3 linked regions of the Sus scrofa genome follow. The protein of the gene in region 3 interacts with the protein of the main gene of each other region in a pairwise test. Links are inferred from orthologs where the notes say so. Each region holds a gene or a part of one and is shown on either strand. Other genes may lie near its edges. The genes, in order: MAPK1IP1L, PRMT1 and EWSR1.

Region 1 (4,102 bases), on a different chromosome or scaffold from region 3:
TTGTAATTCTTGACCACATGTTAGTAAAATATCTAATAATCTGTAACATGTTATAAAGAAGTAAGATATTTATTAAGAATCACTAAGAGAGAGCAGGATTTTTGCACTGTTTTGTTTAGTATGGGGACGAGAGGATAATGGTAATATAGTGTACTGAGAAAAAATATATATATATATTTTTACTATTTTAGGGCCACACCCATGGCATATGGAGGTTCCCAGGCTAGGGGTCAAATTGGAGCTACAGCTGCCGGCCCACCCCACAACCACAGCAATGAAGGATCCAAGCTGGTCTGTGACCTATACCACAGTTCATGGCAATGCCAGATTCTTAACCTGCTGAGCGAGGCCAGGGATTGAACCCACAATCTCATGGTTCCTAGTCAGATTTGTTTCTGTTGCTCTACAACAGGAACTTTCGTGGAAATGTATTTTTTGAATTAGCATATCTGAAAGTTGTGTTAGCTTTTATCAGATAAGCTCTGTATTTAGGCAACTCCAGAAATTAGGGATTTGCAACATTTCAGACACTTTAAGTTACTTAAAAACATATAATTAAAAAATAATATTTCCAGCAACCTCACATCAGCCATATTTTCTACATTCAGATACTTATTGGAACATATGTGCCAGGTACTGTGTTGGGCCTTGGGGAAATGAACATGGAATAAAGGCTTGAAGTGCTGCTGGTCTGTCAGAGATCTAGCATCTAAACAGAAGCTACCTGACCGCAGGTAAGCACAGGGCACTATGGGGGTACCCTGAAGAGCTCCCAAAGGAGTCAAGGCAAGGGTATCAGGGGAGGAATCCTGAGGAGTGGTGCCTGTGCAGTCTGGAAGAACAATGAGGAAAGAGCTGGGAGTAGGGGATGGTGGGACAGGCTCTAGGGAGAGGAGAAGTCTGCAAAAGCTGCAAGAGATGAAAGAGAGATGTGGGAAGGACATGTAAGCAGTTCAGAATGGTGGGAATATAGAGAGGGGAAGACGTAAGCCTTAGCAGTATCCAGACCAAGGTGCGAATGTCTGTCAGCTCATCTGAATGAACCTGTTACTTCAACTAAAAGAATGGGCTGGTAATGTGACAGACTAAATGGGACTGGTAAATCCAGTGCCTATAACAAAAGTGCTTGGAAAATATACTATCTTGCGTTCCGTGGTACATGGGCGAATTCCATATGGTTAAAACACCAGAAGTATGACTGACTAGATAACATTGCAGTTCTCCCCTGGCAGGTTCTGGACAAGCTGAACTTTGCAAACCTAAGAGGTGAAAGCAGACTGGAATAGCGCCCACTCTCACTCAGATTTATTGAGACCTGCATAATAAACACACCTCTTGGTCACTGTCTGGCACACAGCAAAACTCAGCTTTTACAACTGCTACCATAGGTCCACAAACCTTATCTGTAGTTCTCAATTCAGAAACCTCTAAAAATGAAAGAAATGCTCCCAAGTTCGGTGTACACCTTACTTGGTGGCAAAAATCTGACCTGACGTTATTTCTCATTTTCATTAATTCCTACCTATATCTGCACAAATGTTAATAATGGATTAGGGTGCTGCCCAGACTCTGCTGGAGTGATCTCTCATCTATGCACCTTATTGTCTTTCTAAATTCTAAAGATAAAAATCCAAAGATTTCTGAATTCCAAAACATACTGATCCCAAAGATTTCGATTAGGCGATTGGCTCTGTTCCTCCTGGAAAGAGGAGAAGAACACGCCGGTATATACAAGTTGGAGACAACCTAGTTATGACCAGGAGGTTCAGAAATGCCAGCAGCAAGGAAAATTTCTATTCTTCCTGCCCCATGAACACTCCTGAACAAAAGAACTTTTGTAAGATTTCTTAAGGCTACCTTCGCATGTAATGAGAGTTAGTTTTCAAAACAGGCGCTCAGAACCACTAGGTGTCTGAGTGTGTATTTCTTTACTAGCAATGCTAGAAACTTTTTTCCGGTCAGGTGGGTACGGTTTGATTCTTCAACAGTAGAATCTATATTTATTAAAAGTATTACTCTTGGTTTTTAAAAGAAAACGGTCCAAAGCTACCAAGCGCTCCTAAATCCTAAAAATGGGGAGTATTACAAAACTGAGGACTTCTCATAGTTTCTGTCACGGGTGTTCCTCTAATTGCTTTCAATTGCTCTAGAAATACCGACCAGAATGTTACACTGCGAATAATCTCAATTAGCTCCAAGGACGCCTCCAAGAATCGGGCCTGCCTCTCCCTTTCAGTAGAAGTAATGAATGAGGGAGGCGGGCTGGGCCAAGGGGCTCGAGGCCCGCAGCCCTTTAGGGCCAGACGAACAAAAGGAGTCCGGGATCAACCGGAGCTAACCGGCTAGCGAGCGGGTCGTGCCCGCCCGGGAAGGGATGGGGGAGGGGTCGTGCCCGCCCGGGAAGGGGTGGGGGAGGGGCCAGGCCCGCTCCCCGCCCCGCCCCCCAGCCAAGCCTGACGTCAAGCACGGAGAAACCCGTCCCGAGCGACGTCACCCGCCTCCCACACCTCCTCCCGGGGGGCGATCCGGAGATCAGCCCGCTGCCGGGAGCAGGATGACGGGGGGAAAGCCTTAGCCCTCCATCCCCCAAGAAGCTACTCCAGTCACCTCCGTTACCGCTCCCGCCTCCCGCTTGGGCGTGATCCCTCGCTCTCCTCCACGATTCCGCTAGTGCCCAAGCAGTCTCACCCGACAAGATCCGAGCCCGCGGAAAGGTCTAGAAGTGGCGATGGGTCCGCAGGAACTTGGCGCTGAAGAACCGAGCGCAACCCTACTGACGGCAGCGGCGACGGCGGCGGGGGCGGCAGCACCAGCAGCACCAGCAGCGCGCGGCTCCTCCTGGCGCCGGAACAGGAAGCGTCGAGCTCCGAGCGCGTAGCCCCCGCCCGCGCTCCGCCTTCCCTCGGGTCGGCTCGGCTGGGTCGGGCCGGCCGCGCGCGCCCCCTAGAGGGGCCCGGTAGCACTGCGGCCGTCCAGGCCCCCGCGGCCCCCTGCCCCTTGTGCTTGCCCTAGGGCGGCTCTTTCCTCCAGTTGGGCTAGAGGAAAGCTCTGGGTTTTCCGGAGTTTTGGGCAATCTGGAGGAAACGCTAGGGGCCGGTGACGTTCTGAGCAGTCTGGCTGAAATTGCTAACTTGTCTCCTGGAGAGGCTTGAAGGCAGGTTCTGGATTCCCTACAGCTGGTGGTCTCTAGAGCCACAGCTGGCTAGGTGTGAAAGCAGCCTAATCTCTGGACATGGATCATTTGACCAAAACTGGGGAGAGCTAAAGCAACCATACGGGAAGGGGAAGACAAAAAAAATTTTGTTTATAAATAGCTTGACAAATTGATACTAACTACAGAAACAACGGATGTCTTTGTAGATTTTTCTCATTTAGTATTGTCCTTACTTTTTTTTTTTTGCCACGCCTGGCATGTGGAAGTTCCTGGGCCAGGGGTAGAACCTGCTGAGCCAGAGCAGCGACCTAAGCAGCAGCATTGACAATGCCGGTTCCTTAACCCGCTGCTACGCGGAGAGTCTCACTCCACTTGTCCACTTTCGAATATACCTTTAAATACCTACTCTGTCACACCCAAAAGATGATTGACACGTGGCCCCACCATCAAGGAACCTGCTAGCTAGCTGGTAATGAAGATTACCAGCTATATATAGCTATGTGGTATATATATATATAGCTATGTGGTAATAATTTTGCATAACTATGGGCAAAACACATATAAAACGTACATGTATTTTACATGTAAAAATTACAAGTATGCGATATTTTTACAACTTTTTGCTTCTTTGCGTAAGATGTTGAAGGGACATTTTACTGTAAATTTCTTTTCTTTTCTTTTTTTTTTTTTTTTTTTTTGTCTTTTTGCCTTTTCTAGGGCGGCTCCCGCGGCATGTGGAGGTTCCCAGGCTAGGGGTCGAATCGGAGCTGTAGCCGCCGGCCTACACCACAGCTACAGCAATGCGGGGGCCTATACCACAGCCATAGCAATGCGGGATCCGAGCCGCGTCCGCAACCTACACCACAGCTCATGGCAACGCCGGATCATTAACCCACTTGGCAAGGCGGGCAAGGCCAGGGACCAAACCAGCAACCTCATGGTTCCTAG
Region 2 (4,216 bases), on a different chromosome or scaffold from region 3:
TATGACCCAGCTGTGTTCTCAGTTTACCCAGGAAAAGGGAAAACATAGATCCAGAGAAAGCCTTGGTCATGATGGTTCACAGCCACTCTATTCCTAACAGCCCTATCCTGGAAACCACCCACATACCCACATACCCATCAAGAGGAAAATGTAACCCATGGATTCAATGGACTACTCCTCAGCCATGAAAAGGACTGGACAACTGCTAGGTGTGACATGAATGATTCTCAACAGCATTATGCTCAGTAAAAGAAGACAAACACTTGTGTACATACTGTAATTACATTTTTACAAAAATGTTTTTATCATTTTTACGAAATTTTAGACATGGAAAAGATGCGTGACGGTGACAACACAGAAAGTGATGGTTTCTGGGGTTGGGTGGGGAGATGTTGAATAGAAAAGGTCATGAAAGAACTTTCTGGGGTGATGCATATATTCTGCCAGTGGCACTCATCTTCATTCAGTACGTAATTTTCCTGCAGGTTTAGGAAGGCTCCCTGGAGGAGGTGGCAGCTAAAGGGCGCCCTGACTGACAAAGGAGTTGGACAGAAAAAGGGGGCGTGTGTTACCTGCAGGGGTGGACTTGGCAAAAAGCAAAGTGGCTTGAGTGGGGTCACTGGGTTTAAAAAACATGGAACAATTAAGTAGCGGGCCAGGGGTTAAATACCTTGACGCCCGAGCCCCATTCCTGATTTGTTTCGGGACCCCAGACATGAACTCCCTCTCTTTGGGCCTCTCGTTGGGTCAGTTTTCCTTCAGGAAAATGGGCACAAGCTCCTTCGTTCCTCCTGAGTGCCCGCCCCTCCGGCTGGGAGAAGCCATCAAAAGGGCGATGACTGACAGTTCTATTGAGCCAATCGCTGGAGCCTAAAGCCCTGCCTTCCTTTTTCGTGGGCCAATCGTCACGTTCTCCTTGAGGCCGGCCAAAAGCTTCGTGACGTCACAACAGCTGATAAACCAATAGCAGCCATCAAGAGGCGGGTCATTTTTGTGATAGACTGCTCTGTTTCAAGATGTCCGCTTGGCGCGGGGTCCGCCGGGAAGCTTGAAGGCGGTGCTGAGGGGAAAGGGGCGGGAACTCCCTGTTGACTTTGCCCAATCACCTGTCGCACTTCTTGCGATAGACAGGCAGTCCCTCCCATCCCGGTCGACCTAAAGGGGCGGGGTTCTGGACGCCAGACTGGGCGGTCTCCTCAATTTTGATGGGCGTCTTTTTAGCCCAATTGCAAAGCGGTATTCCCAGACGGGTCACCTCCGTTACCAATGAGATCTCCTGGCGGGGTCGCGGTGGGCGGGCCGTGGACCCTCCGGTATAAGGCGGTCCCGGGGGAGTGCGGAGAAGGGGGGGGTCTCGGCGGCCGGAGGAGGAGTAGGTGCGGGTGAAGATGGCGGCAGCCGAGGCCGCGAACTGCATCATGGAGGTGAGCGCCTGGAGCGCCGTCGGGGGCGGGGGGCAGTTTGAGGGTCAGCGTTTTATGCCTCCGTCGTGGGGAAGGGGCTCTGAGTCGCCGGATTGGGGTTGAAATCCTTTAGTCGTACGGAGGGGGCGCCGCATGCTCCGGATCCGGGATGCCGTTTGAGGTGCGGGTTCCCTAGCTTTCGAGCGCCTGTGGCACCCCCTAGAATCGAGGGTCTCGTGCCCCCTCCCACGATGAGAAGGGCTGGGGGCGCTTCCGGCCTGGTCCCCACGTGGCCGCAGCGCGGTGGGTGGGGAGGGGGTGTGCCGTGCCCGCCGGCCGGGCGGCCTCCACGTGCGGGACAAAGGCCCCGCCCCCGGTCGGGGGAGGGGCGCCCTGAGGGGGGGCGGGGAGGAGGCTCCGACCCTCCCTCTGAGGCCCCCTGCCCTCCTCCCCGGGGATCGTGACAAGCATCTCGGGGTGGGACTGACTTAGGGGCTCCGCCAAGTAAAGAGTCTCTTGGGAGGGCCGATGTATCTTGACCCTGAACAAACCCTTTGTGGGAGCGGGGCATCTGCTTAGGCATCGGTCCAGGTTTCGTGCATTCTTGAATTGGGATTGGAGGAAGACGAATTGGTTCCCTCTGGGCCCCCCTCCCACCCCAGTTTCCTGTCGATGGATTCTCCCCCGCCCGGGGCTTGGGGAGCTGGCGGGGGGGGGTGGAGCATGCCCCTGTGACCTCCCTCTGGTTGGGGGGGGGCATCTAGCAGAAGGAGGTCCTTCCCGAAAAGGCGTCGTGCACCCCCTTGTGGCCATTTCTGCTGTGTGGGAGGGACCTCTTTTTCATGGGGCGTGTCCCAAAGCCCACCTCCCCGCTGGAGCCTTCCAGGCGAGGGGAGAGAGAGTCTGTCTTGGGAAGGGGATCTGAGGGACTAGAGGCCGCGAACGTTGCTCCGTTTCTCTCCCCAGGGCATTTGTGAGGGTGGGAGTGAAACCTCCCCCTTCCTGAAGCCCTGTGTGAGGGTCCGGAGCGTGGATGCCTTAAACGGTGTTCCGTGAGGTTTGGTTCTCGTGCAGGCGTGTGAGGCTGGTTCCGGTGCTGAGTTTCAGGCCCTCCGGGGGCCTGCCTGGCGGAGGTGTCGGTGCTGAGAAGTAGGACCCAGCGGGAAATCCCCGCACAGGCCGCCCTCCTTTTTCCGCGTGTTCACGGGTTTGGGAGAATGGAGGTGGGGCTTGGAGCCCAGGGGGCTTCTGTCTGTGGTTTCACGCTTCTCGGAGCCTGACGGGTGGGTACATCTGGAAGAGATGCGATCCGGCGGGGCCTCTGTACTCTGGCCCGGTACCTTGTAGCCCTCTCTGGAATGGAGGGGAGCTCCCAGGGGTCACTCCAATGACTCCTGCCCCCCTCGGCTCTCTCCTGGGCCAGGGCCCGTGTGGGTGGAGGAAAGCGCTTCCCCAGAGGTTGCCCCAGGACTTGGCCCCGCACCTGGGGAGTTTCAGGGCCTGCCGCGGCGGTTGTTTGAATGTGGGCAGATGGGCTGAGGGTCCTGGGTCTGGCCTCCCCCGGCAGAGGGTAATAATCAGGGCGACTGGCTCTAACTGGCTTTGTTTGGGACTTGGCTGAGTCCAAGGCAGCAGCCAGGGGCCGGGCTGCCAGCTCTCGAGGGGGTGCCTTGTGCCACACCTCCTTTCTGGAATCCTCTCAGACAAGAGACTGGTTTGCAGTGGTGGCAGATGCCCAGTGGGTACACCCTGCCAGCCCCCCTCCCCCAGCTACTTAGGGCACCCAGGATGCGGGTGTGTGTCAGGAAGTGTCACCTAATCTGGGGGGATTAGATGATGAGGGGGAGTGACAGCTGGCAGTGCCTGTGTGCCCAGTGGGTGCCAGTTCCTCTGGCCTGGATGGGGGAGGTGCGCACGGTCAGGTGCCTTGCCCGACCGAGAGGGGCTGCGTGGGGGCAGGCCACCATCTCTCCAGCCTCAGCAGGGACAGAACCCCCTCCTCTCTTCCTCTGTCTCTCCCACCCCTTTCAAGAACAGTGTTCCCTCTTTGCTCACTCCCTCTCCCACACTCCCCACAAAGCAAAGCCAAATTGTAGGAAACACCCCCTTCTCCAAGAGCCCGGGTCCCCTGGCCTGGCCCTCCCCTAGTCTCTCCCAGTAGCTAATCCTTTCTCCCTGTTACTCTCTCCTAGAATTTTGTAGCCACCTTGGCTAATGGGATGAGCCTCCAGCCGCCTCTTGAAGAAGTAAATATCCTTTCGTGAGCCCCTTCCCCACATAAACATACCTCATCACACATCAGGCCCTTCCTACTGGCCCAACTCTGAGCCCTCTTGCTTCAAACCAGTTTACCCTGTGCCCCCGAAACACTTAGCCCAAACTCCCTCCAGGTTTGTGGCCCCCATCTGGCCTCCCCCGAACACTGCGGCTACTTCCTTAACTCCATTTCCAGCCCTCCTCTGTCCTTACCGGTGTCTGCCCGGGTTCTGCCTTCCCTCCCCTCCCCTGCTGTGGGCTGAGCTAGAGACGGGGGCAGAGAGACTGGAGAGATGGTAGGCCTGGCTGAGGTATTGGGGGACTCTACTGGATGGTGCTCTGGGGGGTCCTGGAAAGGCAAAAGGGCTTGTTCGGTTTGGGGGTTCCTGGGAGAGGCACGGTGGCGAGCGGGGTCTGTAGGCTTGCCGTGGGACCGTCTGGGGGTGGTTCTCTCCTCCAGGGAGAAGTAGGGACCTGGAGGTTCGAGTCTGTGGGGAGCCCTCAGATTTGACCTCTGCTCCCATCCGTCCCCTGCCAGGTGTCCTGTGGCCAGGCAG
Region 3 (3,636 bases):
GGGGGGGTTTTTTGGTTTGTTTTGTTTTTTGTTTTTTGTTTTGTTTTGTTTTTTACAGCCACACATGAGGCATAATGGAAGTTCCCAGGCTAGGGGTCGAGTTGGAGCTGCAGCTTGCAGCAACACCAGATCCTCAGCGAGGCCAGGTATCAAACCTGTGTCTGTGTCCTCACAGACGCTGTGTTGGGTTCTTAATCTGCTAAGCCACAGCGGAATCTGCTAAGGAACTCCCTGTATGAAGTTCTTGAATCCTTTTTTCTTTGAGCAGGCGTATGGGCAACAAAGTTATGGAACTTATGGACAGCCCACTGATGTCAGCTATACGCAGGCTCAGACCACTGCGACCTATGGGCAGACTGCCTATGCAACTTCTTATGGACAGCCTCCCACTGGTAAGACTCTGGAGAGACTTTTGGACCATGTTAGCTAGGGTGTTTGCTTAAAAGCTTGTTACTTGTGCTTTGGGGTATATATTCTGATCAATACCCTGGCATCTGGGAATCCTTTATTAAGAGGAGTGGGGTTGGGGTTTTTCGTTTTTTTTTTTTTTTCCTTTTCTTTTACCTTGGGGGATCTCTAATAGAATGTGGGTGGGATAGAGTCCAAGGGAAAAAAGATCTTTTCCTTCTAACTGTTTTATACAGTGTATTGAATAATCTCACAACATAATGAAGAATATATAAAAGATTGTGCTAATGCTAGTGCTGGGAAAGAATGAGCTTTCTTAAACTGAGCTGCTTAAAAATCAAACCAATTTTCCCATCTGTTTGCTTCATCTGATAGTGTGCCCTCTACTTTTTTGTTTTGTGCTTTCCACAGTAGAAGGGACCAGTACAGGTTTGACTATCCTGCTCATTCTTGCATGGGAAATGCTTTCCATCTTGTCTAACCCTGTAATGTTAATTATTTAGGTGTTTTCATTTGTTTAACCCTCAAATATTCTAACATCACACACAACAAGGTGCTAATGGAAAACTGCTTTAGGTGCCATTTGCAGATCCATGTCCTTTTTTCTTTATGTGATTTTGGGAAAGGTTTTGCTTTGTTTTATTTTACATTATTTTGTGTCAGGCCCTAACAATAGTTGTTCACTTTCCCAAAGGTATTTCAGATGATTACTCCCCTATTCCCTGAAGGATAGATTGCATGATTAGATTTATTTAGAGGAACAGATTGCCACCCTGCATGTATTATGTTTGTCTGTAAATGTTTCGGTCCAGACACATTTTATTTTCTCAGTGTTGATTCTTTTAATCCATAGTATGTCTTAAATATATATAAAAACATTTCAGGGAGCTTTAAAAAAAAAAAAGAAAAAACTAAGAATTAGAATAAACTTTATCCTAATACTGGGGTTGAAGTGGAGTGTGTGAAAATTTTATGTAACTTTTTGGCTGCAGTTGTGACATGTGAAAGTTCCCAGGGCAGGCATTGGACCTGTGCTGCAGTTTCAGCCTGTGCTATAACTATGGCACTGCCAGATCCTTATCCAGCTGCAGTATACGGGAAATTCACAATTTTTACATAACTTTTTTTAGGTTCAGGGCTATGTAACATTCAGAATCCTTACTTCTCCCCGCCACCTACTCCTAACATCGTCATCATTATCATTGTTAAAATATTTAGGAGTTCCCATCGTGGCTCAGCAGAAACAAATCCTACTAGGAACCATGTGGTTTGCGGATTTGATCCCTGGCCTCGTTCAGTGGGTTAAGGATCCGGCATTGCCGTGAGCTGTGGTGTAGGTAGCAGATGAGGCTCAGATCCCACCTTGCTGTGGCTTTGGCGTAGGCCAGCGGCTATAGCTCTGTTTCAACCCCTAGCCTGGGAACCTCCATATGGCACAGGTGCGGACCTAAGAGGCAAAAAAAGAAAAAAAAAAAAAAGTACTTGATACAAAAGTCTTAAGGATGTAAAACCTTTTATTAAAGTCATTGATAGGGAGAAACATCTGTAATTTATCTTTTGCGTGGCGTCTTTCATTTGATGGGAAGTACTTCCTAATCTACCTAATTAATGCATATTATTGAATAGGTTGGGAAATGTTTAAACATTCTATGAGTGTTAGTTGGCAACTATAGAAAAAGCTGGAACTGAAATTAAAGGGTTTGTATTTTCAGCACAGAATTTTGAAATTGTGAGATAAACTTTACATAGTGAAGCTGTTAAATCTTTAATGAGATGTAATGGACATGTAACATTAGTTTCAGGTGTAAAACATAATGATTCTGTGTGTATATTGTGAAATGATCTCCATAATAAGTCTAGTTAACATGAATCACCATGCATCATCCTTTTGATGAGAACTTAAGATCTACTCTCTTAGCAACTCTGTACAATGCAGTATGGTTAACTGTAGTCACCTTGCTGTGCATTACGTCCCCAGGACTGATTTATAATGAAGTTTTGTATCTTTTTGACCACCTTAACCCATTTAAAAAAGTATCTCAAATTAAATAAAACAGCTTAAGTCTAGTCTTTGGATCATTTTTATAGTAACGTGATAAAGTCATTTGTAGGAAACCGTTTTCTAAGTTCTATAGAGCCATCTATTCGCTTTGTCATTGAAAAAGTCCCATCATGACTGGTCACAAAAAGTGTAGGACATTCTAGTACAGAAACTGGTAGTTTGGATGAGCAAGAAATTGTACTTAATAAGGAATGTTAATAGAGACTTTATAGTTTATGGAGGACCCTTCATAGCTCCCCTAATTCTCTCATGAACTTTTGGAATATAGAAACTAATATTAAACCTGGTGAGCAAATTGGGGCTGAACCAGACTACGTAGGACTTAATAGTAAGAGTAGGTTCAAGAGCAGTTAGTAATTTTTTCTTTATTTCACACTGTCTTTACATATAAAATTTATTGGAGGATTCCCATTGTGGCTCAGCGGGAACAAACCTGGCTAGTATCCGTGAGGATGTGGGTTCGACCCCTGGCCTTTCTCTTTGGGTTAAGGATCTGTCATTGCTGTGAGCTGTGGTATAGGTTGCAGATGTGGCTTAGATCCTGCATGGCTGTTGCTGTGGCATAGGCTGGCAGCCGCAGTTCCAATTTGACCACTACTCTGGGAACTTAAATATACCACAAGTGCAGCCCTAAAAAGCAAAGAAAGAGAAAAAAAGGTTATTGGATAATTATTGGAAGACATATATAAAAAGACTATTTTAGAATATTTTGAAATTACACTTCGTGAGAAGGAGACTATACAAAGCTCAGTTCGTTAAGCTTTTAGAATGAGTTTTTGCTATTCAGGTTGAGTAAAAATTTTAGTTGGTTTGTGTGATGTTTCTTAGTACCTTTTTCCTTGAATTTATCAACACAGTAGGTGTGTTGTCTTTTTGCTTTTGGTCTTTTTTTAATTGTAATTAAATCATTCTGCCCTGTTAATTTTTGCTCATTTTGCTTGGCTGCTTAATGGGTACTACAATTAATTAAAATATTATTAACTGAATCTCTTGCTGTATAGCACTACAAGGCTTTGTTGCTGAGTATTTTTATGAGTTCCCTTATTAAGTTTTGGTTTTTTTTTTTTTTTTTTTTTTAGTCTTGTACATCTTATAGGTGGCCTATTATGTAGGGAAAAAAATCTTTGTAGGAGTAATAGGGTGGGTAGACTAGATTCCAGTTAAAT

What was found.
Region 1: the proteins of EWSR1 (region 3) and MAPK1IP1L interact in binary tests that used the Homo sapiens proteins (3 or more experiments, as listed by UniProt). The link is inferred for Sus scrofa from reciprocal best matches to the Homo sapiens genes EWSR1 and MAPK1IP1L.
Region 2: the proteins of EWSR1 (region 3) and PRMT1 interact in a two-hybrid assay, tested with the Homo sapiens proteins (2 studies listed by BioGRID and IntAct). The link is inferred for Sus scrofa from reciprocal best matches to the Homo sapiens genes EWSR1 and PRMT1.

The regions. Positions count from the first base shown.
Region 1 is NC_010443.5:184,400,109-184,404,210, reverse strand, and holds the start of MAPK1IP1L (MAPK-interacting and spindle-stabilizing protein-like), read right to left. Parts: upstream 2,868-4,102; 5' UTR 2,608-2,867; intron 735-2,607; exon of another isoform or gene 609-734; intron 1-608.
Region 2 is NC_010448.4:54,717,569-54,721,784, forward strand, and holds the start of PRMT1 (protein arginine N-methyltransferase 1), read left to right. Parts: upstream 1-1,331; 5' UTR 1,332-1,388; coding exon 1,389-1,424; intron 1,425-2,330; exon of another isoform or gene 2,331-2,686; intron 2,687-3,595; coding exon 3,596-3,649; exon of another isoform or gene 3,650-3,952; coding exon of another isoform or gene 3,953-3,955; intron 3,956-4,197; coding exon 4,198-4,216. UniProt on the Homo sapiens protein: Arginine methyltransferase that methylates (mono and asymmetric dimethylation) the guanidino nitrogens of arginyl residues present in proteins such as ESR1, histone H2, H3 and H4, FMR1, ILF3, HNRNPA1, HNRNPD, NFATC2IP, SUPT5H, TAF15, EWS, HABP4, SERBP1, RBM15, FOXO1, CHTOP, MAP3K5/ASK1, MICU1 and NPRL2.
Region 3 is NC_010456.5:46,415,146-46,418,781, forward strand, and holds part of EWSR1 (RNA-binding protein EWS), read left to right. Parts: intron 1-268; coding exon 269-392; intron 393-819; coding exon of another isoform or gene 820-837; intron 838-3,636. UniProt on the Homo sapiens protein: Binds to ssRNA containing the consensus sequence 5'-AGGUAA-3'. Might normally function as a transcriptional repressor. EWS-fusion-proteins (EFPS) may play a role in the tumorigenic process.